4 linked regions of the Arabidopsis thaliana genome follow. The protein of the gene in region 3 interacts with the protein of the main gene of each other region in a pairwise test. Each region holds a gene or a part of one and is shown on either strand. Other genes may lie near its edges. The genes, in order: AT1G14990, STE14A, AT1G15610 and AGP27.

Region 1 (8,031 bases), 200 kb from region 3:
GCCGATTTTGAATCGACAGATCTCTCTCCACCTGGGAAATCATTGTTTCCCTGCTCTCTCTCTCTCTTCTCAATGCGCTACGCCATTAACGATATAATGCATTGCTTGTAACAATGGCAGGTGGCAAACGCCGATTGAACGGATTTATCCCGGCGGCGAAACTGTGAGTGAAGTAAGCAAAAGAGAGAGAAATTTTATTTATGTTATGTATGTATGCGCTCGTGCGGTGGAAGCATGATCGATTAATCACATGTACTTGAGTATTTATTTGGCTTTTCTTATGTGTTATAGTTCTTTAGTCTTTTTCTTTCTTCAATTCTTTGATTTCAGTTTCTATGGAAAACTATTGTTAAACGTGAGAATTCAATGCATCGGTTTCTACGTATGGTCTAATTTGTATTGGCAGAGAGACTTGTCCAAAAATAGCAATGAGTTTCATACACATTTTTCAGTTTTTGGTTAGAAAGATGAAATATTTTCAATCAACCAACCTATACTAAATTTGAAGGTGCGACAAGACAATATACTACAGTTGTCTTATCATCCAAACGAGTGGGTTAAACAACTGAAAATCCAAAATTAGTAGTTTTCCAACCATTGTGAAAAGGAAATCAAAAGACACAACTTTCAGAATGCATAGACATGGACCTACTTCTCGACCTGATTCAGTTGTCAATATGTGAAGAAGGAGATGCTATATAAAAAAAGCCATGCGGCCAAATGAGCTTATTTCTTTTGTTATAGCATGATCATGAATAAGCAAAGTCAACTAAGCTATCGTCTACATTGGCTATTGAAGTTGCTGCCTAAACGTAAACGAAAAGCATCCACAGATTACGGAAAAGCACAAAATGAGAAGATGCAACACTTGGGTTATCCATGTGATTGATGCCCATTTGTAAAAATTCAAAGACAGGTTCATAAAGGTAGATTCAATGATAAACGACAACAAAGTCCAACCACATCTTCAAGATAAACTAATTTATAAATGACTTCTCCTCATAACACAAACACCAACATGAACCCTCGTGGTTAAGTTGGCAAGCTTAGCCTTTTCAATCCTCGTGCAAAGTTCCCAAAACATCCTCGTCCCGGAAGAGATGGTACCTGCGTCCATCACACAAACACAAAAGTTACTCACTTTGAGTCAAATTCTTCTTCATTTGTAATTTCTTATTCGTTTCTAAAATCAACCCACCAATCAATATGTAAATCTGGTGTTCAAATTGGCATTATTAAACATTGATCAAAATGTTTTTAAATCCTCTGTTACAAAATTTTCAATATCTTCACAGTCTTACAAGTAATTCCCTTAGTTCCATCCATTAATCTAATTAATGGATAATGATTCCTGAACATGATTAGCTAAACATAAAGGTTCAATTAGATCAGATCAGAATTTTATCAGAATATTAGGGCAATAATAAGAAAGAAGCGGGTTTAACTTACTCGTTCTCGCCGAGCTTGACCTGTGTACCACCGTACTCTGGAAGAAGAACAGTGTCGCCTTCCTTCACAGAGACCGGAATCAATTTCCCGTCCTTATCCCTTGATCCAGGTCCAACAGCTATCACCTTGCCTGAGTTCAGCTGCAATCACCCAAAAATATGTTTATTTTTCAGATCTAAGAGGCGAAAATCAGAAGAATCAAATCGTGAAATCAAAGCTCTTTTACCTTGGAGGATTTCTCAGGTAGGAGAATGCCGCTTTCGGTTTTAGCGGGCTGGATGACTCTCTGCACCAAGATGCGGTTGAACGTTGGGATCAGACGCTTCATCATTTCTCAATTCTTCTTCTCTCTCAGTTGATGAATCGGAATTTTCTAGGGTTTCTGAGTTTTTAATTTGGGGCAGAGACACATAAGACGGAAGGTTCTAGATCGTAGGGTTTAGCGCGACAGAAAAAGGCCAAGGGTTTTGGGATTGTTTGGGCCTATAATATCATACTATTTCTTTAATGGGCCTCACTCATTAAAAAAAACCAGTCGCATTTGTGTTTGTCTAAATAAATTCTTGGAAGTGTTGTATGACCTTGCAGCTCAAATGGTTAGTTCCTTCCATGATTCTCTTTGCCAAGTTTTTCAAACTCCATGTACAATCCCATTTCATATACCACATCCAGAATGAGATGTTTATTTTCGGCAGATTTTTCGTGGAATGAAATCTTGACCTTTCTTTTATCAAACGTCTCTGCTGATGATGGAAAGCTTCTTGCTCTGTCAGTTTTCCCCATTTCTTTCAAGGTGGTAACCAAAGTTTTTCCCCGGATTGTTGCTTTGCTATGCTATATGTTTATTACATTGTGCCTCTGCGGGAATTACATGCTCTTAATTTTCAGAGTACAAATCTGAATAATCCATGTAAGCCAATGGTACGGTTCCGGACTTATACAAACACCATACAAATGTTCCAAGATACCAGGATTCGAATTTGCTATAACAAGATTAGGCACAAAGCTGAAACAAAGAGAGCTGGCGCCACTAGCCACTTCCATCGAGTTGGCCTTGAGATAGAAGGTGAGCCATGTATTGCTGCATTCACAATAAAATGAGCTCAATTCTTGGTTCTAACCCCACATGATTCGACAAACATTTCTATCAATGGCACCACAAAGTCAGTACCATCAAGATTCTAGACTTATGGAAACTGACCTTTACAACACTAAAATATCCGCACCACAGAGATTATCATAAAGAGATTGAAGAAACTTACGGAGTGGTAAACGTATGGAGATTTTCCCTGGCGATCAAAATGCTTAGCCATTATGCAGAATTCAACAGGACCCCAATCTTCAGATTCATAGCAATTCCCAAGCGCCGCTTTGTACAGCTTTACTCCAATAAACCCCAATCATCAGTTCCACACAGAACTAATCAACTATATAAACTGTAAACGACAACTCAAAATTGTCATCAAGGACAAACCTTAGCTGTGTCGGTCAAAAGTTCGGTGCCAGCAGGGTAAGATGCATAAAACTGATCTCCCCTGGAATATCCTGCTCTTGTTCTACACAACATTCGAATCAGTAACATTAAATCAAATTAAACCTGAAGCAGAAACCAAGAGAAGAACCCAGAAATTGAAATCATCTGCGAATTCCGATATTGAAAAGAAAGAACAACCAAAAGAAGCAAACTGAGATCGGACGAAAGACATTACGTGTTGTTTGTATAGAAGAATGTGAGGGCAGCAGTGAAGCAGTAGAATCCGGCGTAAGAGACAGCCCGTCGTAGCTTCTGGATCTTTATAACCTCTGAGCAAACATCCAAGATCATCATCTTCACACCTTCGGAAACTCTTTCAGGTATTATATCGAACACCTTGTGATCACTTTACCAAACAGAGATGACGAGTAGAAGAAGCATCTCACGAAATTTGCAATTGACAAATTGTAAACGCTTTGTATTGTCCAACTTTTTATGGGCCTATCTGACCTTTTTCTCTTTTCGGCCCAATAAAACTTTTAGATTTTATTTCTTTTGGCAACAATAAATTTAAAATAATATACATTATGGAAAATCATCTACAAACAAAAACCTTTAAATTAAAAAACTCACATGTTAATGCAATTAGGTTAGTAAGCAAGCACGTCTTGACAAAAATGTTATTGTTACACATTTAAAAATTCACATGTTATACAAGACAAAACATAAACGTAATGTTTTGCAGTCAAATAATGAAATAAATGAAATAATACAAAGGGATCTTTATGTAAAGGCGTCACCAATTAGTGGAAATAATGGAGCAAGCCACTACACTCTTCATATTGCTTTCCACTCTCCTCCTCGCCGTCTCCGTTGAGTCTCCTCAGCCACCGCTATTTCCCGATGAAGCTCTCCCCACTAAATCTGGCTACCTCCCGGTTAAACCCGCACCCGGCTCGTCCATGTTCTATGCCTTCTACGAAGCCCAAGAGCCAACCACACCTCTTCCTGACACTCCGCTCCTCGTTTGGCTCCAAGGTGGGCCAGGCTGCTCTTCAATGATTGGCAACTTTTACGAGCTCGGTCCCTGGCGTGTAGTTTCACGCGCCACAGACCTCGAGCGCAACCCCGGCGCATGGAACCGTCTATTCGGACTACTTTTTGTGGATAACCCAATAGGAGTCGGATTCAGCATCGCAGCCTCACAACAAGACATACCCACAAATCAGAGACAGGTCGCTGAGCATCTTTACGCCGCTCTCGTGGAGTTCCTTGAACAAAACCCAAGCTTCGAAAACCGACCGGTTTACTTCACTGGAGAGAGCTACGCCGGGAAGTACGTTCCAGCCATTGGATACTATATCCTTAAAGAGAAACCCAATGGGAAAGTGAATCTAAAGGGGCTAGCCATTGGAAACGGGCTGACCGACCCGGTGACCCAGGTTCAAACCCATGCGGTCAACGTCTACTACTCGGGTCTGGTCAACGCAAAACAGAGAGTTGAACTGCAAAAAGCGCAGGAGATATCTGTAGCTCTCGTGAAGTCCCAGAAATGGCGTGAAGCAGCAGACGCGAGGACCGAACTGTTGACGCTACTAAGTAACATGACAGGACTCGCGACGCTCTACAACACGGCACGGGCGATTCCATACAGAACAGACCTCGTGGTGGACCTCTTGAACCAGAGAGAAGCAAAACGTGTTTTGGGAGTGAGTGAAACGGTTCGTTTTGAGGAATGTAGTGATGAAGTAGAAGATGTGTTGCGGGCAGACGTGATGAAGAGCGTAAAGTTCATGGTGGAGTACGCATTGGAGAGGACTCAAGTCTTGCTGTATCAAGGTATGCTTGATCTAAGAGACGGCGTCGTTTCGACGGAGGAGTGGATGAAGACTATGAACTGGTCAGGATTGGGAATGTTCTCGACGGCGGAGAGGCGTGTGTGGAAGGATGAAGACGGTGTGGTCGCTGGTTATGTTCAGAGATGGGGGAATTTGTGCCACGTGGCGGTTACAGGAGCTGGTCATTTTGTTCCGACAGATAAAGCTGTGAATTCAAGGGATATGATTGAAGGTTGGGTTTTGGGGAAAGGATTGTTCGGTGGTAAAGATGTGAAGCAGACAACTTCGTCGAGCTTATACCATTCAATCTAAATATTGTGTACTTGTACTTAGTTCTGTAAGATTCAATTCAGATTCTAATTGTACTCTGGATTTAGATTTGTTACGTCATGTTCACAAGTTCATTTTAGTACGAATTGGTAACTTTTGCTACTTAGTTTATCATTTGCCTGTTCCTGAAGTCTTAAACTTTCTCAAAAAAGTTAGCATACAGTATACACTTAAGGATTGATTCAGATAAACTGTTTTGGTAAGAATAAGGAGATTTGAAGCATAAACTAAAGAATTTTTAAAAACATGTAATGGCGATTGGAGGCGGGATTGTGAATGAGATTCAAAGTGATTTGAGTATAAAAAATACACAAAACACAGAGAAAGCACAAAGAAACCCGTACTATGAAGCCATTTTGGTATTAGGGAAAGAAGAGCAAGGGCACCCCGTAGAAAACCTACAGGTATTTCAGAGCTATTTATCAAAATCTCTCCCCTGTTTTTTGCCTCTTTCCCGATTCAATTTTCTCGGAAAAACATTCGCGGAAAACAGAAAGAAAACTACTAATCATATGAAAATCAATCTTTCGCCTAATTGTTGAGAGAATGATATTCAGAACATCGAAAAATTGAAACAAAATTCATTGGAACCCTAATGACGGCTCCTGCTAAAACCTGTGAAACTCGCAACTTTATAGTGCGAAATTAGGAGAGTTAGGGCGGACGATAATCCTTTTAGTTGGGCCGAGAAAAAATTGGGTTCAGAGTTAGGTAACTATTAAGCCCATTGGGCTACTGTGTATAATCTATGTCCATCGTTTGACCTCACCATTGTTAGAACAAACAAAAAAAATAGACATCACTTCACCATTATTTCTTAAATTAATGTTAAGTATGAGAGTACCCCATGATTCCTTAATTAATCATATGGATTGATTCGTACGTTTTTTGGATGTAAACAAAGGAGAGGTCAATGTACATATAATTATTGGTTGATAAATTATGAGGATAGTACGTTAATGGGATTGACATTTAATGATATCTCCAATTTAACACCGATCCATCTTTTTCATCGGAGCTTCATGTTTGATGTTTTTTTATTTGGCCGTGTCGACAAATTTGTAAAAGACGTGTAAAGCTGAAATTGAGAAGAAACAAAAGTGAAATTGTAAGGAAACGTGATCGATGGTGACCCCATCAATATTACGATAAGGTAACGCGCTAAAGCAGCCTTAGCCGTTTTTATTAAATATTATCCAAATATAACTTATAAATAATCCCACCAATTGTGTCTCCTAAGCAACAGAAAATGGAAATGATACTGATCTCGTCATCGACACTCAGGTTCCATCCATTGAGGACATCACAAAGAATCGCCACCGGAACCAATAGAAGACGAACCACCACCGTGTGTGCAGACTACTACAGAGGAGGAAGAACGGTGGACGAGAACATGGTGGTCCTTAGGAAACGAATCCATGAGATGAAGATGGTTGAACGCAACTTTGAACCTCCTTCTCATTGGATGCAATGGGAGAAACGTTTCTACTGCAACTACGACGCTACTATATGTGATGCACTCACTCTTCTCCAAACTTTTCTCATGAACTCTCGTCCCAGCGTCGCGTTTGGAACGTGTCTTCTTCTCCTCGTCAGCGTTCCCGTCTCCTCCGCCGTTTTTGCTTTTCGCATCCTTGATCTAGCTCTTTGGCTTTTGGACGCCGTTCACGTAGTATGATCCGTAAATATCTTTGTTATTTTATCTAGAAACTATCTTTGTTATTTTATGTCGAAATTAAGGTAATTTTCCAAAACTAAAATGGAATTATTTATTATCAACAAATACCTTGAGAAATTCTATAATGATTTTGTTTAAAGAATCCTAATTTCATCTTTTTTGGAAAAATAAAAATAAAAAAAATCCGTACTTCATATGATTTAGGAAAAAAAAGTAATCAGTGTGAAGTAGTAGAAGAAAATCCTTGCTTCATATGACTAGAGATCCGTTGATTATTCGGAATACCGGAAAACTAGAGTCTCTCAGATCTGTTGATTTCTCAATACAAGAAACGAAAAAACGTGAAGAATTCGTTGATTCTCTGCGAATACCGAATCCTACGTCTTCTTATAATCGTTGAAATCTTTCAAGATCTACCGAAAAGAGAAGAGTATTCTAAAAACTCTTTAATTTAATTAATCAATTAACTGAATACAAAAGAATGTATAAACGGCTTATTTATAATAAAACCCAAAAATCAAAATAAACAGTAAAATAATCATATAATTATCTAAAATATAAATAATAAATAATATGGAGGATAATGATTGAAGATATTTGAAAATTATCCTAGTTACGCGCTGCAGTGTATATAAACTCTCAATGGATAGTTATCAAAAGAGTATGTAGCAAATAGAAAAGAGACGAGACAATTCAATGGACGTAACGTTACCTCATCATGTGGTAGAAGATATTCTTGAACGACTTCCTGTAAAAACACTCCGTAAATTCAAATGCGTTTGTAGCACATGGAGATCCACTATAGACTCACAACGTTTCAAGGATAGACATATGATTCATGGACAACTACTCGAAGATCCCGATATCCTCCTTCTCGGGCGTTGGGATCCTCCCAGTCTATCCAAAAACGCTTCTCTAATGACATTGACGTTTGACTCATCGACCATGCCGTTTTCTTTCAAGATTCAAACTATACCCGGAAAAGCCAACTTTTACAAAGTCACTCAAAGTCACTCAAAGTCACTCAAAGTTGTGACGGTCTATGATTCGAACATGGAGGCTACTGGTTTAGTGCTATATGATATGACTCAATCAGAAAGAACATTTGCTAACTTTTGTTTATCATTCAAAAACAGAGAGACACCCACTGCTTATTTCCCAAGCTTAATCACTATTTAACTTTGACATAGTTAATTGATAGTCTTTGTATTTTTTTTTTAAAGTTATACCTTCTGTTTTTTTGTTTTTTCATAGATGAGAGA
Region 2 (7,958 bases), on a different chromosome or scaffold from region 3:
GTGCTCTGTTCAATAGAAGTGAGAAGCACATACAGATTAAAAAAAAAAAACTTTATCAGTAGAGTCATGATCTAATGATTATAAGTAACTTAGATCAAGGGGATGTTAAGTTAATTGGGAAGGTAGACGGAGAAATTACCTAGGCTTCCAACCAAGTACTTCAGCCAATCCAACAAACGACAGTAGATACGGAGTACCAATTCTTGCAGCTTGAATTGCAAGCTCTCGATGACCGATATGCAGGGCATCAAACTTCCCTAGAGCAACAATGCCTCCTGCAAATTCAAAACAAATTCATAATCCAGAAAGGTCATATAAAGGTTGGCCACTGATGGAAGGCAGTTGAAACTTGAATGACAAACAGATACCTGCAACTGGGGAAAGCCCTTCAGCTGAAAGCTCAGGATGATCATCTCCCTGGCTTTGAAAGAAGAATTACAGCCAAATATTTTAGTAAAGACTCCAATTTTGAAAATTTGAGTAGAACATAGTGAAGAACATCTAACAGAAATCTCTATCTTAAAGCTCATCAGGAAATTTCACATAAAACAATCAGATTCGGATACAAAAACAATCAAAACAACAGCGAGATTCAAAAACCTGAAACAATCGAGAGGAGCTGGGATTTTTCTTGGAGTTTTACAGTGAGACCTAAACGACGACTTTATCCGCTGCTGCGATATAGCCGAACAAGGTCTGAGCATGAACGAAGATTTCCGCAAAACCTTAGCACCGAGCCTAGGAGGATGACGATGGTCCCACAAATGCACGGAGGCGCGAGAGCCTCCGCATAACATGGTTACCGACTCCACTGCTCAAACCCCTAAAAAGACCAAACTTGTTCTCCGAAACTCTTCGCCGGAGCTATGCATCACCGGTGACAGGTGTCACATAAACAATTAACGCTGTGGTAAATTTCATATCCACGTCAAGACCTTCTCTTTCAGCCAGAGGGTCTTGTATGTTTTTGTGACTTTAAGACCTCAAGTCAAGTACATCAAACTCATATGTTCAAAAATAATTCAAGTGTCAGTTCACAAATGGAACACCAGAGGCAACACTCTCTGCATACTCTAGATACTGTACCCCAAAAAACTGATTCAGAAAATACTCCTCGTACGGTATTCTCTGAGCAAAAAACCGCCACACGACAACCGCGAACGCAACTGCTGAAACGGGGTTACAGAGCATAACTTGTGTCCCGACCGACCAGATGAGAAAACCGCAGTAACTTGGATGCCTCATTAGTCTATACACACCATGAGTCACAAGCCCGTGATGCTCTTCGTAGTTGATCTTTATGAGGTGAGTGAACGATCTTCCCGCTGTTATTATCGCTGCCTTCCTGATGATTTCCCCAACGATGATCATTATGAGTCCAAAGTTGCTGACCCACCAGTGTTGTTTCAGCCCCGGGAAGAGGATAATCTCCGTTAGGTATTCGAGAAGCGACAGAAGCATTGCTAAAGCGTAATGCTTGGTGATTAAAAGCGAACTAAGAGTTACGTTTGATGCTCCGTGAATGGTGATGGCTAGAATGTATTCGGATATGTGGAAGAAGATTAGTGATAGTAGCATTTGAGATAACTGTCTGATGCTGGTGTCACTGAAGATCTCTGTCATTTTTATCAATCAAGAAAGATTATAAGAGGTTTTCTTTCCTGTTTGATCAAAGCTTATGATAATTTGTTTCAAGAACTACAACAGACCTGAGAATGAGACGGAGGCATAGTGTATCAGTAATGGAAGCTGGTTTTTGACAACAAATCTCAGGGGATCCAAGAACTGCATAACCTCCTACAAAGGATAAAGAACGAGGAAATTCAAGTAAACGTTAACTCGCTATATACTCGATTTTATGAATCTTAACAATGAATTAGTTTTGGCATCAAGGAAACATATGATCTTGATCCAAATAAATCTTGTAATCTCTGAGTTATACTAGTATCAGTTTGACCATTTAGCAACCATACAAATGTAATATGAGGACTAACACTACAGTCTTTATGGCACTGAATCTGCCAAAACCCAGGTCCTACATGAACATTGAGATTTTACAGAAAACCCACCAACCAACACAACAATCGCATTGCAAGTTTCATACAAGGATAAATTTCACGAACACAAAGCTTGAAATTGCTTATCTTTAAGAAAATTTTCCCTTTTTACTCACGCAGTTATGGGCACGACTCCTAATCAATTGTAGAAAATTCATAGACGAGGAAATGAACAGAACCTCAAGAGCCCAATCGAAATCGAGAGTTTCCGCGAGAGCGAGTTGGGAAAATCAGGGAATTACCCGATGCTGAGGGAGTTCCACAGAGACGATCGCGTGAAACTTTGACGTTAAGGAGGAAGAAAGTTTATACCTTTACGTTGAAGTGAACGATGGTGTCAATCCCTATTGTCAGGAGACGAAGAAGAAGAAGAAGAAGAAGAAAAGAAAGAAGAGGAAACGGATACTCTCAGTCACGTGCGGGTCACGTGAGCCAGCCTTCGTTTTATTATAACTTAATAAGGGTTAATTGCGTCACTAACATTACTGTCACCATACAGGGCTCACTGATGATCTTAAAGCTAGAGAGTCTCTCAAAAGGCAAAAGAAGAGAAAACTGTCGCTAAATTACACAGAACAAAAAGATGGGTCACATTCAGAAAGCAACTCTTGTTTTGTTGGTTGGGACTTGGGACTTGAGACCTCTGTTTGCAAAAATGAGACTGCCCAAGTTTCCAAGGAGTTGTGTTTAGCTTAAGCGATTGGGATGTTGGGTTCACCAAGATTCACAAACGCTTCTGCACGGGCCATCCGACTCATGGCAGCGTTCCACGACACCAAGTGGTTCAGAAATGTGTTTATATACTTAGCCCTGTCGTTCTAGCAACCGGAGAAAGAAAGAAACAAACACTGATTTAGCCTTTTGAACGAACAAAAAGAACACAGAATGGTCGGAATTTAAGCTAGGTTTTTACCTTGTAGTCCAGATAATAAGAGTGCTGCAAAGTAAGATAAGAAAACGAAAGATATTAGAAAATGTTTCAAAGTGTTTCTTGGAAGAATGACAGAAGAGAGGAGATGGTGTACCTCCCACACATCCACGCAGATGATTGGCTGTAACAACAAAAGAGATGTGATCAAGAGGTAACATTAAGTTCAACAAGAAAACTAACTAATAAAACTCTAACATACAATATCGTCCCACACGAGTGGGTTAATGGCGTTTGAGGTTTTGACCACCTCAAGCCTTCTCTCTTCCCTCTTTACTGAAATTTTCCAGAAAAAAACAAAAAGAGAATCAAAATTTTCCATTTTCAAAGTCATTCTACAGTTTAATACCAAGTGAAAAGCTAGTCAAGTTTCTCACAGACAAGCCAGACCCATCCAGAACCAAACTGAGTAAGAGCTGCATTAGTGAACTTTTCTCTAAAATTTGTGAAAGAACCAAAATCCTTATCAATCTGCTCAAGAACACCCTTTTGAGGCGTGTCTCCACCACCAGGTTGCATCGACTCCCAGAAGAAATCATGGTTATAGACCTAAACAACAACATAATCATCATCAATCCTTCCAACATTAGTGTGTGCCTCGGGTGATAATGTACAAGTTACTTAGAATATAAAGTACCTGTGCAGCGTTGTTGAACTCGGGTAAAGGATTCCCGTTGTTGTATGTAGCCTTGATAAGCTCTTCCATGGTGTATCCATAGAGTCTATCATCTTTCCCTAACTGTTTATTCAGATTATCTACATAACCTCGATGGTGTTTTCCCCAATGCACTTCTAGTGTTCTTCTACTCATATACGGCTCCAAAGCATCCTATTCACATTTGTTTTTAACTCTAATTAGAATCTCAACTATACCATCTTCTTTGACATATCACCAAGGCCCTAAAGATCAAGACACATCTACTTTGCAAGATAGAAGATACACAGATCAAGACACAATCTTTCCTATACTCACAAGACAATTCACCCAAATTAACAAACTTTCTACAGTTCCGTGCTTAGTCGAGAACAGAATTGGATTACAGAAGCAAGACATAGTTACTACACTTAGAATCCAAATACAAATACCAAAGTCTTATTTGCACTTACAAGTGGATAAGGAGGTGTCTTTAGACCGTAGTAAGCTTCAACCTTTAAACCACCTCGAGACCTAAGAGAGCGTCTTCTCTGCTGGTTACTCTATAAGGAAACGAAATTTGAAAGCTTTAGTGCTTAAAAGAGATAGATTCATGTGAAACAGAACCACAGCAATTTCCATGTCACACAAAGAAACGAACCAGATTGAGGAGCTTGGGGGATTTCAAACGTATACTAGAATCTGAAATTGTATAGAAACAGCTTGTCGTCACAACACAAGAACTCATAGTTCCTCCCACTGTTGTCGTCAAAGTCTCACTTCTGCTTCGAAAGACAGAGAGCTACTTCGCACTCTTGGTCTCGCTTTTTCAGAGAAAGGGCCTTCCTTATCAATCTCTTTTCAAACCGGTTAACATATAAGATTTTACCCCGGTTAACTACATTAAACCGGTAAATCGAACCGGAAAGATCAACCTGAAGGAAGCAAGGGTTTTAGCAAATACTCTGACGATCCTTTGTAACCGAACAACAAACAAAAAGCGTATATTTTTCTCTCTATCAAGATTCAAGCCGTGAGCTAGAAGGCTAAAACCCTCTTCTTATAGATTTCAAAGCAACCATTTTCGAACTCTGTTTGATTCCACTGTCGATTTAATCATCTTACCTAATGGCCGGAAGGGCTGCGACGTCGTCGGCGAAATGGGCGAGAGAGTTTTTGTTCAGAAGGGTTTCGTCTAATCCTCTTGGAGCTACCCGTAACTGTTCTTCGGTTCCTGGAGCTTCTTCTGCACCGAAAGTCCCTCATTTTTCCAAGAGAGTGAGTAGCTTTGATGAATTTATTGATAAATTAATCTCATTTTTGGTTTATTCGAATCATATTGGAATCTTATTCCTTAAGATAAGGAGTTGCAACTCTTGTTTTGATCTGAATATGGCACATTAATTGGTGTAGTAGAGTTAGATCATTGATGCTATTTCATTTTACAAGAGCAAAGTGTTTGACTTTGAAAATTTATAGGGAAGGATATTGACAGGAGCTACCATTGGTCTGGCCATAGCTGGAGGAGCTTATGTTAGTACTGCAGATGAAGCAACCTTCTGGTACTTTACTTAATAAGTGCCCTGAAACTTAGTCTTTTTGTTCTCTTTGTTAGTTGACATTGCTAAGGCTACCTTGTAGTTACTTTGAGGAAGTCACTTTGTTTTTTACCTCTTACCTATTTTGTGTGTTGGACAGTGGGTGGCTATTCAACGCAACAAAGGTTGTGAATCCTTTCTTTGCTCTTCTGGATGCTGAGTTTGCGCATAAGCTGGCTGTTTCAGCTGCAGCTCGCGGGTGGGTACCTAGAGAAAAGAGGCCTGATCCAGCAATCTTGGGACTTGAAGTTTGGGGAAGGAAATTCTCAAACCCAATTGGGCTTGCTGCTGGATTTGACAAAAACGCTGAGGCTACTGAGGGACTGCTAGGGATGGGATTTGGCTTTGTTGAGGTAGGCTCTGTAACTCCTGTTCCACAAGAAGGCAATCCGAAACCACGTATCTTCAGACTAAGCCAAGAAGGGTGAGAATCTCTAATCTATAAAAGACCTTCAATGATTGAAGAAGCAAGATAGTTTAAACTAAAAGACTTATATTTTGGTCCTCCCAGAGCTATTATCAATAGGTGTGGATTTAATAGCGAAGGGATTGTTGTCGTTGCAAAGCGGTTGGGTGCTCAACATGGTAAAAGAATGTTGGCTGAAACATCAGCTACTTCGTCATCTCCAAGTGATGATGTAAAACCAGGGGGAAAATCTGGACCTGGTATTCTTGGGGTCAACCTTGGAAAGAACAAGACGAGTGAGGATGCTGCTGCTGACTATGTCCAAGGAGTTCATAACTTATCCCAGTATGCTGATTACTTGGTACAAACTTCTTACCATGATATATCGAACATGAATTTGATCTAATCCACCGTAGAATTCTTTGTTCCTAATTTTCATTTTTCTCTTCAGGTGATCAATGTTTCATCACCCAATACTGCAGGACTGCGCATGCTTCAAGGAAGGAAACAGTTGAAGGACCTTGTAAAGAAGGTTCAAGCTGCTCGGGATGAGATGCAATGGGGTGATGAAGGTCCTCCTCCTCTTCTTGTGAAGATTGCTCCTGATCTGTCCAGAGGAGAGCTTGAAGATATTGCAGCGGTACGTAGTACTAAAAAAGCTAAAACACATTCTATAGTTTTCAAGTAATTGGTTCTTACAACATTGTATTGGTTTGTGTAGGTGGCTCTTGCTCTGCACTTGGATGGGCTGGTAAGTTATCCTCTTATGAACTAACTTATGTTACATCAGTGTCAATCAATGAAGCCTCCAGTCTGTTTAACGTAGTGTAGTAAAAGCGATTAAAGTGTTAGAATAGTCTCTTTTTTCGATTGTACGTATGGTATGTTGCAAATCATAAAAGCTTTCGATGATGATGATGATACTGTCTTTGTTGGTCCTATAGATCATATCAAATACAACAGTCTCAAGGCCTGATGCTGTAAGCAACAACCCCGTGGCAACAGAAACAGGTGGTTTGAGCGGGAAACCGCTCTTTGCTCTCTCCACCAACATGTTGAGAGATATGTACACTTTGACACGAGTAAGTTCTTATCCTAAAAAAAAGATGATCCACTAATCGACCAATGAACTAAAACCTTTTCTGATGGGTTTTTGGATATTTTCATGTTCTCTTCCTTAGGGAAAGATTCCATTGATAGGCTGTGGCGGGGTTAGTAGGTAAACGTCGAACATACCTCTGATGCTTTAGTTGTAAGAACAAAAGAAACACAAGAAAATGATTTAAGGTGAATCTTTTGTGTTTTTAGTGGTGAGGATGCTTACAAGAAAATAAGAGCTGGAGCTACTCTTGTTCAGCTGTACACGGGATTTGCCTATGGAGGACCTGCCCTCATCCCACAAATAAAGGTATCTCCTTCCCCATAAAGAACACAAAAACATACATATGCTGTATTTTGAGGTCAGATTGATACTAATATTCATGTCTTGTTGTTGCAATAGGAGGAACTGGTGAAATGCTTAGAAAGGGATGGCTTCAAGTCGATCCATGAAGCAATTGGTGCTGATCACAGATGATAAAACTCAAAGAGCAATACGCTGCGGAAAGATCCCTTTTCTTAAAACAACAAAACAAGTTGTATTTAAAGTTCATTGATTCAGTTGTCTCTTTCTACCCCCAACAATAACATCATCGTTTTTGCCTCCAATAACATCATCGCTTTTGTCTCTTTTCTCACGTTTTATGAGAAATAACTAGTTAACACGTCTTTTCTTTCTCATAGTCACTACTGATTACTTAAAATTACAGCACAAATTCTTCTAGCACACTAAACACAAGCCGATTGAGATCAAAAGAGTCAAAACATAACTGATCAGACAAAATCATTTGCAATCTCAAAATAGTCTCAATAGCAAAAAGCACTAGAGAAGGAATAATTTTCACGACGTGGTTGCAGCTGTTAACTGTTTAACTTTGGCCTGCAAGACCATTCCAGCTTCATCTGCCACGCTTTTCTTTTTCGCTGCGACCTGCATTGAATGAACATTTTTGAAGTTTATAACTAAAATCTCAGGTGAGATAAACAGCAGTAACAATAGGGTTTTCAAAATAAAAGAGTATTGAAACAATTTGGCAATGATGCACTTGATTTCAATAACTATTGAAGCAAATGGAAAGGAAACGTGAGATCATAGCATTGAATTTTGCTTTATACGAAAACAATACTCAGACCTCTACTTAGTGTATCATGTATGGCTCTAGGGACTAGGGAGTGTTTGACAATGCAGGAAAGGATCAACCAAAGGGCTTTCTGACTACGTACTTGCATTCCATAA
Region 3 (7,699 bases):
CGATGTCGACGATGTGCTCATCATCGTTGCTCAACAAAGGGCTCTCCATTAATCACTTATGATTTTCTTCTACTTCTCTTGGATTCAATCAAAATCTGCGTTGCAACACAAAGCATATATAGACCTTTCAAATTAGACGCCAAGACCATTCCTAAGTCAATTATGGTATTCCTACAATGAAATAACTATTGAACTACTTGGTGCTAAATTATAGTATATTCTACAATGAAACACAAAGCATTGACTGTTTCAAATTATTTGGTGAAATTATTATTTTAAGACCAACTACACCAAAACCAATTATATAAAGTCGCTTTTGTTTATTGAATTTGAAACACAAAACATAGACCTTTCCAATTCGCTGGCGCTAAATTGTTCTTTTATACCAACAATTTCAGGAAGATATATAGGATTCAATCGTGACACTTGGCTTTATTTGATAAATAAATAGAGTATTACAACATTTTAAACAAAAGAAAGAAGAAAGCGACATGATCATTCTTCTTTTTATCTGCATAAGCATCTGGAACAACAACCACAGATAATGCAGGCAAAGATTCCAAAGCATAATAGGATTATAGACGTAGTCAAATTTATCTCATCAGTAATGTCACCAACGAAGTCTATCGATTGGGAAAGATATAGTATCATAGGATACAGAAAACAAACTCCCGCACAGGGGAGATTACGAAGAACATGTAGAATGCAGCTGATAGCAAGGAAAGTCATACATAACCTGCAAAAGGAAAATGCAGGGTGGTATTATTAGAGAGACTTCGTTAATTTAGTCTGTTTTCGGGACACGAATATATAGTTATAATTTTCTTCTGATGCGCACCAGAACTGTTGCGTAGTATTATCTATAGATGATGAGTTGTTGATAAGATGCCATAAAAGCACCACAACCCAACCCACGAAGAAATATTCAAGCATCTTTTTCAAAATGTCCACCACCTCGTAGATTCTGCAAATCAATAAAACCACTATATCGGTTTCGGTTTCTAATGCCTTTAAAACAAATAATTAACATACAAATTATAGTTTATACCTTGTCTCTGTGCTAACACTTCGGTAAGAATGCCAGAAACGCAAACCTAGAATAGGGAGTGTGGCAATACAGCAACCGGTATAACTGAGGATCAGTGTAGGAAACATTTTTTGTGGAGGTTGTTCATCTTTTGCCAGAGTCAGAACAACAATGGCGGCAACAATCTGGACTAAAGCCACAACAAACTCGACCAAAATACAAACAGTGGTAAATGTAAATATATCACTCCATTGGACACCCTCATGCGGTCTTTTCTCATCAGCTGATGAAGGATTGCCATTGGTTGTAACGTCGACGATGTGCTCTTCATTTGAAGAAGAATCGCCATGGATTGTAACGTCATCGACGATGTGCTCACTCTGAGTCAACAAAGGGTCCTCCATTTATCACTTCTGCTTTCTTCTATTTTCCCCAATCGAATTAAAAGTCCTTATTAATCCGCTTTAAAACACAGAGCACATAAAGCCATCTCCAGTTCTTTGGTGCTTAATTATTATTTTAAGACCAATCTACGTCGAGATCTATTCTATAAGTCAATTGTAATATTTCGAAGTCGTCGTTCGGTTCTAAATTATTACTCCAGATCGACATCATTCGTAATCCTAGGTCAAATATAATTCATATTCATTCGACGTTTAATTACAAAGCACATGTTGCGTTTAGTTCTTTCGTGCTAAGAAGTGTCTAAAAGTCGTTGTAAAATAAAATTAAAAAAAATGAACAGTCGAAAAGTCAATTGTATGAAATTAAATGCATAATCGAAACTTTCTATTAAATATAAAATTCATATTATGATAAAAAAAATATGTATTACAATTCTTTCTATTTTGTTGAAATCGATTATTTAAAAAATATCTTTAAAACTTCAATTTTCAGAATTCAAATAAAAGTGATCATTAAAACATTACAATTACCTTAAACAAATCGGATGCGAACGTAACTGAAATGATATCTCAATAATTGAACCATATCTTAATATTGCAAGACAACGAATCTGAAGTTGAGCATAAACAAACGGAAAGAAAATTGAACTAATAAAACCTCTATGGTATCAGGATTAAAATTTGTATCCTAACCGTAACCAATATCAGATCAAACCATTCATATATATATTATTTATTTTGTTTTAAAATAAAACAATATCATATCTATAATTTTGGTATAAGAATTAATAACAAATTCTTATACCCAAAAAAAAACATAAAAGCATAGATATGTCCGATTCGTTGGAGCTAAATTATTATCTCGAGACCAACTGACCAATTCCAATTCTACGTTAATTATAGTCATTTATAATAAAATGGTTATGATATTATTTGGTGCTAAATTAGTAGTTTTTTTTTTTTAAGTTATAGACTTAAAGTGAAACACAAAGCCTAGACGGAACCTTTTGTGCCATTTTAAGACCAATATACAGCATCATTAATCTTTTAAAAGTCAATTAAGTTAACTTCCACGTCGTTATGACAGCGACAGTTAATGGAAGGTAGCCAGAGAAGTCACTGAAGAAGAAGGTGGTTCTTCAAAATCGGATCATATTGATGAGATTAAATTGTTTGTTGTGCAGAGGTATTGGCGCACAAAGATCGAGTGTTAAATTGTTTAGTTGAATAAAAGTTCGCAACATTGCACTACATTTTGATGTGTGCTTTAATTTAAAGGCTACCTCTGCTCTGCATGCGACCATTCAAGTTTTCATGTATTATTCCACTCCATAATTGACCCCCAAGGCCCCAACTGATGCAAAAACACTAATATTTGGTTACGGCTGATTTCTTCAGTCATATATATGTGAAAAACCAATTAATGGTCTTCACACTCCCATATAGCAGGTTATCTATTAGTGCCCTTAACCGAACCCGATCGAGATTGATTGAAGTCATATCATCTCTATCAAGTAGTTATCATCTTCAGGTTCCTTGTGGGTTGTTTGATAGCATAAGAACATATATGTTATGGGTGCACTCTTAAAAAGAATTGTCGGGCGTGCCACATGCTGTCTCAACATGAAGCGCTTCATCAAGATGGCCAAAGAGGCCTTTTACAATAGACAAACCAGTTGTACATGTTGAAATGCAGATACTGAAATGTTTATCTTGCTGCAGAGATATTGGTACAGAGAAGCCTTTAGTTTCAGTTTTGCCGGCCATTTCAGGAATAGAGGATTCGGTAATGCTAATGACACTTGGCTTTATTTAATAAATAGAAAGAGAGTATTACAACAATTGTTGAAGAAAACAACATGATCCATCATTTTTATCCGCACATTCCAATGATCCACGAAAAGGTTAACGCAAAGAGTCCAATGATGACCAAAAAGAGTGAGAGTAACGAATTAATCATCGTTACTATGGCGGCCACAAGTGCAGTAACAAGGGACACCCCAGGCAACATGAATAACTGTACGGTAAATTGGAAATTAGGAAGCACATATCGAATGCAACTGAAAGCAAGTAGACCCAGCCATAACCTGGAAAAGGACATTTGTTAGTTCTAGAGAGGTAAATTATGTTGTTTAGCCATAATTGTAAATTTAGTTAGATGCGCACCAGAAGTGTCGACTAGTATCTTGACGTGATGATGACTCGGTTAGAATATGCCATAAAGACACCACAATCAAGGACACGAAGAAAGATTCAAGAAAATTTTCCAAACGGTACTCCATCACCTCGTTGCTGCAAATCAATAAAAACCATTGTTGAGGATATCAGTCTCTAATGCCTGAAAAAGAAAAAGAAACACAGTTTATACCTTGTCTCTGAGCTAGCGTTTTGGATATACTGCCATAAACGGCAACATACAAAAGGCAAAGTGGCAATAGAGGCACAAGTATAAAAGATGATCCATGTAAACAAAGCTACATCTAGTTCTGGATCTCGTTCATCTTTTGTTAGAATCAGAAAAAATATGGCTGCAACAATCTGGACCAAAGTCACAGCTAACTCGACCAAAATCCAGAAACTTCCACTTGTAAATGGACAACTCCATTGAAATGCCTCATGTGGAGTTTGCTCATGATCAGCTGATGACGAACCGCCATTGATTGTAATGTCGATGATGTGCTCATCATTTGAGGAAGAATCGCCATGGATTGTAACGTCTTCGACGTTGTGCTCACTCTTGGTTAACAAAGGGCCCTCCATTGATCACTTTTTTGCTTTCTTCTATTTTGTCCAATCGAATTAATAGTTCATCTAAACAAGCGTTGAAATACAAATTACATAAAGCCCTCTCCGATTCTTTGGTGCTAAATTATTATTCTAAGACCCAATCTACGTCAAGATCTATTCTATAAGTCAATTGTAAACTTCTAACGAACAAAAAAAAAGTTAGTCATTCTTCTCTAAATACGAATAATAGACATTTCCAGCTATATTATTATCTTAAGACCTAATCGACACCAATACCAATTCTAAGTCAATCACATAAAGTCCTTTACAATGAGTAGACTTTCGGAGCTACATTTGTTTTGTGTGTTTTTGTTTTACCTACACCAAGACCAATTATTAGTCAATTGTAGCCCGTTAGAGTAAAATTTCAAAATATTTGGTTCTAAATTATAGTCTTCCTAATTCTTTGGTGCTTGATGTATTATTTGGGAAGCTAGAAGAAGTAATATGTCTTTTTTGTAAAAGGAGAAATCTTTGGTGTTAAATTTTATTATTTGGGAAACTATAATATTTTATTATTTTTCTTAGTTATCTTATCTTTGGTGTTAAAGTTATCTATATATCCATTTCGATTTACCCAAATCTGTCAAAATAATAAGGCCTATAAAAGGTTATTCTGAAACACGTGATTATTTGGGTAAATGTCACAATGAGGTAGGACTCGACTCGAAATAAGTCAGATTTTAAAAAGCCCATTAAAGTACGGGCCCTTAAAATACATATCTGAATAGCGAAAACGCACGAATAAGAATGGTCAGTCAAAACTGTCATTTAATGGAGAATAATATTAACGAGGGAGAAAAATAAAATAAAAAGAGGAAATAAGACGAGATGATCATATTTGATCATTTCAAAAAACCTTAGCTACTGTTTTTCTCTACCTTAATAAGATTAAAATCATCAACATGAACACAAAACATTTTTATTCTGGTACTCTGCTTTACTTTGATTTTAAACGCCCATTCTCCTAGGCTTACAAACAAAATATTTTTATTAGTTCGATTTCAGCAGATGCATGATACAATGCATGCTACAATGCCTTTTAAGACTTCCACAGCAAGGAGAACACATATGACCACAGGCGTAAGTAAAAGCAAAGGAGTAGTATAACAGACCATTGCCAATGTTAGATTAAAAAGAACATATCTAATGCAACTGAAAGTAAGGAGAGCCAAACATAACCTGCAAAAGAGACAATGAAGAAGGCCAAAGGCATGAGTATAAGAAAGGTCAATATATACGTTTTAAGGTATACATATGATTGGAAATTTCGTTTGATACGCACCAGAAGTATTGAGTTGTAGTATCATCTAGAGCTGATGAGTCGAATGCTTTGGAAGAAAGAATCCATAAAAACACCACATACCAACCCACGAAGAAACCCGTCATAAAAAAGTCCATATCCTTGTTGATTCTGCAAACCAATAAAACCATTATATCTCAATCTAATGCATAAAAAGATAAAAGAAAACACAATTTATATATACCTTGTCTCTCTTAAGTATTCATCTGTAGATTCGGAGCCAACGCTTCGGTTATAAAGCCAAAAACGCCAACATAGGATAGGGAGAGTGGCAATACAGCCACATGTATAACCGATGATCCATATAGACAACATTGTTTGTGGATGTTCTTCATCTCTTGGCTCAATCAGAACGATTATGACCGCAGCAATCAAGACCAAAGTCACAACAAACTCGATTGAATTACAAATGCTTTCATTTGTGTATGGATCACCCAATTCAACACCCTCGTGTGGTTGCTGACCATCAATTGATGAAGAACTACCATCGCTTGTAATGTCAATGATGTGTTCACACTCGCTCAACAAAGGGCCCTCCATTGATCACTTTTGGTTTTTCCTATTTCTTGCCGATCAAATGAAAAGTTCATTCAAATTTGCGTTGACGAGCACAAAGCATATACCTTTCCTTCTTTGTTGATAAAATTATTAGTATTTTTTTAGACCAGATCAATACTAAGTACGTATTAGTCGTGTTACAAATAAAACATTATTTTGAAAAATGAAGATCAAAGCTGAGATTTCAATGTTTATATATATTGCAGATGTTTTGGACAAGTTAAATTGTTAATAGGTCAAATGATCTGTATGATATTTATTTTCTGTTTTAAGACAGACAACACAAGAAGACAGGATCGTATCTTTCAGTTTCCCACCACTTTTGTTTATTGAATGTGTACAATTACTCTTGAGCGAAAAAAAAATAAAAAAAAAATCAACCTCATCTCATCACCACCTAACTTGTGATTGACAGAGAGGGCATGTGGATTTGATTTTCAGCCATTTGTCTATACATTGCGAATGAAATACGTGTGAGCATTCAAGTTTCCTTAGTCCTACTCCTTTTTCCTCTCCATATTTCCCCAAGCATATGCAACAACTCTGCACACACCATCAAACCATGAAAATTAAACAACAACAACAACAAAAAAATGCTATTTAAAACAGAGTAATTAATGTGATATGAAATTATTACTCACATCATCATGGCTCGGTTTCTTGAAAACAAATCTACCTCCTATACCTTCCCTTACAGAATCTACATCATTTGATTTCAACTTATCCACATCATAGATATGAGAAAAAAATGTTCCAAACTCTAGTGAACATTAAGCGAAAAAAATACCTGCGCATAATAGTAATGCATATGCAAATCTAATGCAACTGAAAGCAATGAAGACTACACATAACCTGCCAAAACATAATCAAGAAGACAAAAGTTAGTACTGATTAGTTAGGGTTTAACTAAATCTCTACTGTGACATGATTGTGAGTCAAACCTGTAGAGCTTAGGAGTATCAGAAGAAGATGAGTGTCCATAACAAATCCATAGAATCCCCATAACTAACCACACAACAAAGAAACATTCATTCCCCATCTTCAAAGCATCCATTACCCTATCCGTTCTGCCACCAACAACGGTTCGGTTTGATTTAGCTAATTAAACTCTTAATGTTAAGTGAAACAAGTGTTGTTTATTATACCTCGTTTTTGAGTAAACACCAATTCGGTTGTATTTGCGGACACACGAGAGGAGAATAAGGAGCGTAATGGTAATACAGCCACAAGTGTAACCGATGACCCATGTTAACAAAAGTGCTTGTTGATGTTCATCTTTTGCCAGAGTTAAAACTATTAATGATGCAACAATCTGAACCAAAGTGACTACTAATTCCATTATATTCCAAAGACTACCACAGTCTCTCGTAGATGAACTTGCACCTTCATCTGACGATTCGTCATCCGTAGACAGAGACGAACTTAATGAAGGATAGCTTCTCTCGTCCAAAGACGATCTTGATGAAGAATCTTCATCGTTTGTAATGTCGATTATGTGATCATCATTATCACTGTGGGATTCGCTGTCCATTATCACAAAGTCTTGTTGTGTTATTCATTGGCTAAAGCCAGCCGACAATATATTATACGCAATTCTACATGATCAATCGAAAACTAGAA
Region 4 (7,265 bases), on a different chromosome or scaffold from region 3:
TTGGTATTTATTTTTCATCAGAGATTCGTGGAAACCTTATTAAAAAATGACCAACTTATATTTAATTATCAAGTAAACGTCGAATGACATAAGAAAGAACAACCCCCATCTATCACAATTAATATAATTCAAATAAATATTTTGGGGTCAGTTTATGAAACTGGTTATCATTCAAAGTACGTAATTTAGTTCTGTTAAGGAAGTATTTGGCTATTATGTAATACGGTGCCATAAAAAGAATACAGTACAAACAGTATATTATTCAGTTTTATTCCTAAAAAGAGAATAATCCTAAGATCATTTACATTTGGTCATAAGAAAAATAAAAGCGTGTTCCCCTCTGTTGTTTTTTGATACTCCTTTTACACGACAACATGATAACCAATGAGCTAATTCCACTTACGGTCATAACAACGGTGTAACAAAATCATCTCAACCGTTTAATTGGAATAAAGTTCTTGAGATGGATAAATAGACGATGGAGATTAGCTAATATGAGATTTAAAAGCCGTTGACCTCTCTCTATTCCACTTGGCTTCTCTGCAAAAAAAATCTTTATTTATATATTTACGCCATCTTTGGCGGTCTCTCGTCTTCGATCGTCTCTTTGCTGTCCCTTCAACAGAACTGTTACATCCCTCTCTACGACCAAACTGAATCATTCGATCTTTCGAATCTCGTCATAACTCTGCCAGGTAATATGTGTTTGAATGCTTTATCGATTTTTTCTTAAAAACATTTCTGTGGATGCTTTTTAATTTAGATCCTTTTACTGTTCATGGAGGTGATAAATTGAGCTCTTGTTGATGAAGATTGATAAATTACATGTTTCCTGACACAAACTCTAAAGGAATTTTCAAATTTTCTTGGAATTTTCCAGGGTTTTGATTCTTCTGGAACATTATGATTTTGGAATGTTTTATTATTCCCCTATTTAGGAATTTTAGTGATTTGAATTTTTCTCGGCGGCTAAAGAAGGAAACTATACAATTTTAGATACTAATTCAATCAGAAATCTAAATTCCACAAATCACGCTTCGTGTTTTTTTACATATATATAGGAAATATACTCTTAAAGCTGAGATTTGGAAATGGTGATCGGATTAAGCACAATGCTGGAAAAAACAGAGGCTCTTTTCGCTTCTGATCATGCATCGGTCGTCTCCATGAATTTGTTCGTAGCTTTGCTTTGTGCTTGCATCGTGCTTGGTCACTTGCTTGAGGAGACTCGGTGGATGAACGAGTCAATCACTGCTCTTATCATTGTAAGCTTCGTTTTTTTTGTTTCCCCAAATCTTTAAACACATTGCTTAGAAACATTCTAAATTTGGATTACGCAAAAATAGGGTTCGTGTACTGGGATTGTGATCTTGCTTATAAGTGGAGGCAAAAGCTCAAGGATTCTTGTGTTTAGTGAAGATCTCTTCTTTATTTATCTTCTTCCACCAATTATATTCAACGCAGGGTAAGTTCTTTTTATATAGAATTTCATGAAAAATTGAAAGTCGGAATTGAGTAACACATTTTTTTGTTACAGGTTTCAGGTTAAGAAGAAGCAATTTTTTCGCAACTTCATGACCATTATGTTATTTGGTGCTATTGGAACTCTCATTTCATTTGTTATCATCTCATTTGGTAAAAAACCAATCTCAATCAACTCCCACATTTCAATATCATGAGTCTCATATATTTTGATGATGTTTCCGGTTTTGTTTTTGTTATGGCTAGGTGCTAAACATCTTTTCGAGAAAATGAATATCGGTGATCTTACCATTGCGGACTATCTAGGTACCCTGAAACAAAGAAAACCCTTTTCAAGTTCTTATTCATTAAGTCTCATACTGTTTAAATCTGTACTGATGATTTTGCAGCCATTGGAGCAATATTCTCTGCTACAGACTCTGTTTGCACCTTGCAAGTAAGAACTTTTTTTCTGAAACATTCAAAGATATTATTCTACTACATTTTCTAATCAAAAATTAACTTGCACGCTTTGTTAAATCTAGGTGCTTAATCAAGACGAGACACCTCTCTTGTACAGTCTTGTCTTTGGAGAAGGTGTAGTGAACGATGCCACATCGGTCGTGCTCTTCAATGCAATACAGAGATTCGACCTCACAAATATCAATTCAGCCATAGCTTTGGAGTTTGCTGGAAACTTTTTTTACCTCTTTATCTTAAGCACAGCACTTGGTGTTGCAGTAAGTTTCTTTCTCTCCGCTCCTCAAATTTCTAAACCCGAAAAATTCTCACTCGTTTTCTTTTAGGCTGGATTGCTCAGTGCTTTTGTTATCAAGAAGCTCTATATAGGAAGGTATATTCGTATCTACTGATGGTTAAAAATGTGATTTTACCCTTTCTTTAATAATCCTTTTGCTTTGTTTTTGTTTTGTTTTGTAACATCAGGCACTCTACTGATCGTGAAGTTGCACTTATGATGCTATTGGCTTACTTATCATATATGTTGGCAGAGGTAATAAGAAAAATTTGAAACGTTTTGGTTACATTTTTTCCAACAGAAAATGAAAACATGATACATATATCCTTTGCAGCTATTCCACTTGAGCTCTATCTTGACTGTGTTCTTCTGCGGGATTGTTATGTCTCACTATACATGGCACAATGTTACAGATAAATCCAAGGTCACTACAAAGTAAGTTTCTTTTTCTTCTCCCAATAATTAGAAAATAACTCTACTAATTTGTTGTGCTTGATTGACTAAACTGTATACGTTTTCTTGGCGTAGACATACTTTTGCTGCAATGTCATTTCTAGCTGAGATTTTTATCTTCCTTTACGTTGGAATGGACGCTCTCGATATCGAGAAATGGGACGTTGTACGCAACAGGTGAGACTTAGAGTGTGATAATACATCAATATCTTTTGTTTCATTTTCATAATATTGTTTAACAATTTTGGCAGTCCTGGTCAGTCGATTGGAGTTAGTTCAATACTTCTTGGGCTTATTCTTCTGGGTCGCGCCGCGTTCGTGTTTCCACTTTCCTTCTTGTCCAATTTAACAAAGTCTTCACCGGATGAGAAAATAGACTTAAAGAAACAAGTAACCATTTGGTGGGCTGGTCTGATGCGTGGTGCAGTGTCAATGGCTCTTGCTTATAACCAGGTTTTGATCCGTGAACTACAAGAAACAAAGATAAAAAAGTGATCTTTGGGTTTTAATAAGTTCCCATGACTTAATCTCTTCTCTCTGTTACATCATAGTTCACAACTTCAGGACACACCAAGGTTCTTGGGAACGCTATCATGATCACCAGTACCATCACTGTTGTTCTTTTCAGTACTGTGGTACGTTTCAACACTTTGTTCAAACCGGTTTGCTTCCTACTGAAGTCAAATCGGGTTTAGCCTATCCAACACGTAACCTAATCTCTAACCTTTTTTGCAGGTGTTTGGATTGCTAACCAAACCGTTAGTCAAACATTTGCAGCCTTCATCAAAACAGTCCTCCACGACCGCGCTGCAGATCACACTAAGATCTTCTTTCCACGATCCGATCCTCCATGAGCCGTTGCTCAGTACCCAAGGCCAGTCAGAATACGACCCTGAACAACATGTTAGCTTCAGAATGTTCTGGAAATCTCCGTCCAGGGCCATTCATCATTACTGGAGGAAATTCGATAACGCAGTTATGCGTCGCATATTTGGTGGCCGAGGCGTTTCACCAGTAGTTCCAGGTTCACCCATTGAGAATAGTGTTCCGCAATGGAGTGAAGAAGTAGAAAACAAGGAACAAAACGGCGAACCTTGATGACCATAATGACATGAGTAAGATCTTTGACTTGTTGATCGCGTTTTTTGGCGTTGTTGGACGCAGACGCAACATGGGCCGGCTCTAATTTTTTGCCTCCAGTTTTGGTATAATGGTTTTGGATGTGAGTTCTTATTTGCCCGGTGTGATTTTTTGGTTTGTGGTGTGATTTTGTAAAGCCGGTCCGTTTTTCGTTGTTTGAGTTTGTGGTTTTGTTGAAAAATTGTAACTGTCCATGTAAATAGGGACTGATATAGGGGTGACTTGAGTACACCTAGCTCATATGCAGACGTTAGCGTCTGCGTTTGGAGATTCGAGTTTGCGTTGGTGGGACGTGAGCAGATTTTTTAATCTAAAGTTTGTGTACACTTTCTTGTACTTCTTATACAAAACAAAGGGACACGAATCTTTCTAATGTTCATAATTTATTACTGGGTTTTGCAAGAAACTTGTTGACAATATACAAATAAACTGATAACTTATATATAAATATAACTTTTGAGAAATCTAATCTTATTTTTATGCTTGCACGTATATAAGGACAAAGTGAGTGGGTATCAATCAACCTTATAGTAACATATACAATCTTTCACGCATAAAACCCTATAATGTGAAAACAAGAAACGTCCTTTACATATTTCTTCTCACCTAGATATTATTAATTTTAATATTGAGACTTTGAAACCCCAGAAATAAGATAAAGTGTGGGACAAGAAAAGAAGGCACCTTTTTTTGTTGTTGCTTTTAGCCGTGAGGCCAGCATATGCAGTAACTCACATGCATGCGCCTCTAACCTTGTGGCATTTTAGGAATTATGCAATAATGCACTATACTTAAATACGTTAATTCACAAAGTAATACATTCATTCAGTTCATAAACACGTCTCAAGATTAAGACAAAAATAATCATAAAAAACTGGTGTTTTACATAAACTTATGTCGAAATTAATTAGTAGTCTACATATAATTACTCAAGTGTTATTTGCATGTAAACAGTACAAATTTTTGGAACGTTTGATTTTGATACTACTATAAACTGCAGTATACTGTAAAGCATGCATATGACGTCACTTTAATTTGAAACGTAATTTCAACTTTTTCAAAAGGTTCTTTAGCTTAGCGATAAAAAAAAAAAAAAAAGTTAGTGTATAGTAAACGAACAAATGAAATGAAAAGAAGAGAAAAGTATAAGTCCTCAAAGTGTATTGAATCACTTAACGGTAAATTAGTTTTTATTTTTATTTTTATCCAGAGTTCTTAAGTTAATTATGCATCAATTATGTGGTTCTGACGTAATATATTACTTGCGTTTTTCATCTAAACCAATCTAAAACTGTAACAAAATGTTAAGTGGAGAACAATAAAAAATACAAATAGTAAAAAAAAATTGAAAATCAAACTAAATCTAATTTTATTCGTTATTTTTAGGGGACAAATAAACTCATGAAAATAATGACGTACGTGGTCTAAAATATATGAATGACCTATATAGCTGAAACGGCAAGAAGCCGGAGCGAGAAACAATAGACGGCGGCGAAGACAAAGTAGATGAAAACTCCGGGAGCTTGAGAAGACAGAGAAGCAAGAGATGAAGCCGGAGGAGAAGCCGATGGAGCGAAGGCGGGATCAGGATCTGCGGAAACGTCGTCGTTTTCTGGTTCAGGAAGTGTTGAAGAAGAAGGGATGGTTTGAGTGGAGGAGACGGCGGGTGAAGGGAGGAGAGGAGCGATCTCCGGTGAGATCTTTTCTTCAGAGGGAGAGATTGTTTGCGAAGATGGGATTGTATTTGTCGTCGGCGAAGAGAGAGAAAGTGAGGAGAGAAAGATGAAGGTGATGAGTGTTAGCAATATAGATGAAGCCATCTTTTTTGGTTACTGTAATGATGAACAAATCAAAGCTGAGTTGTTTTTTTCCTTAACTGATGAGAGCGCATTTTGTGTTGTAATAATGATACTGTCTCTATAAAAGAAAACTTTTAGCTCTAATAGTAAAATATTATAAATTGATTTTAAATGGAATTTGTCTCACCTTTTTCCAAAAAGATTATTATTTATCAATTTAAAGGATGTGTTCGGTGGAAAAGAAAATATATTTGCTGAATTCTTGAAGATGGGCGTAGATCGAGTTTTCACTTTTTAGTAGAAGCTCTTATATATTGCACATATTTTCGAATAAACATGTGCTTTACTTTTTGCTGAAAAATATTATGTTAATGCAAATTATACATATTGCTAAGTACGAGTAAAGGCATCTCCATCCATGAGAAACCTACAAAGTTTCTAAAACAAAAAAAATATTAATATTATATTATAATTTAATTATTTGATTAAAAAAGTAATTTTGTTAAAAAATTGAATCAATAGTGAGATGAGAATTGTCATGATGGGTTGTAGAGAATATCTCAAAATTTTTCAAGTGAGAAACTTTCTACATTTTCTCTCCTTCATTTTCATTATTTTTATTTTTTTAATTGTGAAAAACTCTTATGAAATACCTTCAATGGAGATGGTCTAATTACGTTTGTTGTTGCCTCGTTGGATGTTCAAATAAAAAGCACATTTTATATTGGGTTGTTCCTAAACAAATATTTTGTTGTCTTTTGTACTAAAGTTTATTGGCGAGTTAAGAAAAGCTTTGTGGTGTGTGGGAATTATTATTATTATTTATTATTTATTGTTCTTTAGTTTGCTATGCAATTCGAGCCCACTAAAGAGGCTTCCTATGGGCCCAAAAAACGCAGCCCACTATTGTAGTGCAAAACGTGCTGAGTTTTCTACATTGCATGCCCAACAATGGCCACCAGTGTAGTTAAAGACTCAAGAACTTGCTGACCTCTATTTGTTTGACTTTCTTTTTTGTGTGAACAAAATCACATATTGTTGATGTCATTTGTTCTGCTATAATTCTTAACTTCAGATTACAGATAACGAATTTTCTCTTGATGATTTAAACAAACATATATAATTGTCAATATCAGAAAATGAAAAGGAGATATAAATAATTTTTTTTTGCGCCTAATCGAAACTTCACCTACCATTTTTTAGCGTATAAAAACGTTAAAAATACCAAAATTTAGAAATCCAATAAAAGTTGTGAAAAAAAGCCGCAAAGGGTCGTTGTTGTTTGTCGCCTCTCAATGGCAGCTTCTTCAACTAATGCTCGTCTCACCAACCCTCCTCGTCTACTCTCCAAACCCCGACTTTCACCTACCTCCGTCGCCAATCTCCGTTTTCCAGCCGCCGATTTCTCCACTCGCTTCTTTGCCGATTCTTCGTCCCCGCGGCTAAGGAGTGTACCGTTTCCGGTGGTATTTTCCGATCAAAGGCGCCGGCGAAGCATGGAACCTAGCAATGTCTATGTTAGTGATTCTTCCTTTAGTTCAGTTTTCTTTTGTTGTTTTCTGTTCCGTTTTTATTGGAGAAGGATAGGTAATGATGAATTTGCAGATTTATCGCTTCAAATAAATTTGGTATTAGTTTTGGATGAAGACTTTGAT

The links.
Region 1: the proteins of AT1G15610 (region 3) and AT1G14990 interact in a protein complementation assay, tested with the Arabidopsis thaliana proteins (one large-scale study listed by BioGRID).
Region 2: the proteins of AT1G15610 (region 3) and STE14A interact in a protein complementation assay, tested with the Arabidopsis thaliana proteins (one large-scale study listed by BioGRID).
Region 4: the proteins of AT1G15610 (region 3) and AGP27 interact in a protein complementation assay, tested with the Arabidopsis thaliana proteins (one large-scale study listed by BioGRID).

Annotation. Positions count from the first base shown.
Region 1 is NC_003070.9:5,164,875-5,172,905, forward strand, and holds AT1G14990 (uncharacterized protein), read right to left. Parts: upstream 3,391-8,031; 5' UTR 3,278-3,390; coding exon 3,159-3,277; intron 3,006-3,158; coding exon 2,924-3,005; intron 2,829-2,923; coding exon 2,712-2,828; intron 2,651-2,711; coding exon 2,621-2,650; intron 2,531-2,620; coding exon 2,480-2,530; 3' UTR 2,157-2,479; downstream 1-2,156. Other genes in the region: AT1G14970 (O-fucosyltransferase family protein), read right to left, coding at 1-43; CPN10 (chaperonin 10), read right to left, coding at 1,056-1,107, 1,450-1,589, 1,676-1,780; scpl50 (serine carboxypeptidase-like 50), read left to right, coding at 3,739-5,073; AT1G15010 (mediator of RNA polymerase II transcription subunit), read left to right, coding at 6,341-6,769; AT1G15015 (F-box family protein), read left to right, coding at 7,466-7,948.
Region 2 is NC_003076.8:7,847,033-7,854,990, reverse strand, and holds STE14A (S-isoprenylcysteine O-methyltransferase), read right to left. Parts: upstream 2,407-7,958; 5' UTR 2,237-2,406; intron 1,798-2,236; 5' UTR 1,792-1,797; coding exon 1,710-1,791; intron 1,624-1,709; coding exon of another isoform or gene 1,617-1,623; coding exon 1,030-1,616; downstream 1-1,029. Other genes in the region: AT5G23330 (Nucleotidylyl transferase superfamily protein), read right to left, coding at 1-5, 140-275, 369-421, 601-797; FSD3 (Fe superoxide dismutase 3), read right to left, coding at 2,750-2,875, 2,971-2,994, 3,083-3,109, 3,188-3,261, 3,363-3,534, 3,623-3,814, 4,093-4,182, 4,281-4,367; PYRD (pyrimidine d), read left to right, coding at 4,748-4,897, 5,099-5,181, 5,318-5,641, 5,729-5,984, 6,075-6,263, 6,345-6,374, 6,568-6,705, 6,805-6,842 and 2 more; PFD5 (prefoldin 5), read right to left, coding at 7,563-7,652. UniProt on the Arabidopsis thaliana protein: Catalyzes the post-translational methylation of isoprenylated C-terminal cysteine residues, resulting in the modulation of the function of prenylated proteins. Involved in negative regulation of abscisic acid signaling.
Region 3 is NC_003070.9:5,367,285-5,374,983, reverse strand, and holds AT1G15610 (uncharacterized protein), read right to left. Parts: upstream 4,228-7,699; 5' UTR 4,192-4,227; coding exon 3,800-4,191; intron 3,724-3,799; coding exon 3,598-3,723; intron 3,519-3,597; coding exon 3,305-3,518; downstream 1-3,304. Other genes in the region: AT1G15625 (E3 ubiquitin-protein ligase), read right to left, coding at 1-49; AT1G15620 (uncharacterized protein), read right to left, coding at 508-736, 839-964, 1,049-1,431; AT1G15600 (uncharacterized protein), read right to left, coding at 5,223-5,400, 5,504-5,632, 5,706-6,061; AT1G15590 (E3 ubiquitin-protein ligase), read right to left, coding at 6,752-6,779, 7,021-7,146, 7,225-7,610.
Region 4 is NC_003074.8:1,927,342-1,934,606, reverse strand, and holds AGP27 (arabinogalactan protein 27), read right to left. Parts: upstream 5,740-7,265; 5' UTR 5,632-5,739; coding exon 5,254-5,631; 3' UTR 4,923-5,253; downstream 1-4,922. Other genes in the region: NHX4 (sodium hydrogen exchanger 4), read left to right, coding at 1,092-1,265, 1,347-1,465, 1,538-1,635, 1,729-1,788, 1,872-1,918, 2,007-2,201, 2,268-2,314, 2,407-2,473 and 5 more; MEE32 (dehydroquinate dehydratase, putative / shikimate dehydrogenase), read left to right, coding at 6,906-7,127. UniProt on the Arabidopsis thaliana protein: Proteoglycan that seems to be implicated in diverse developmental roles such as differentiation, cell-cell recognition, embryogenesis and programmed cell death.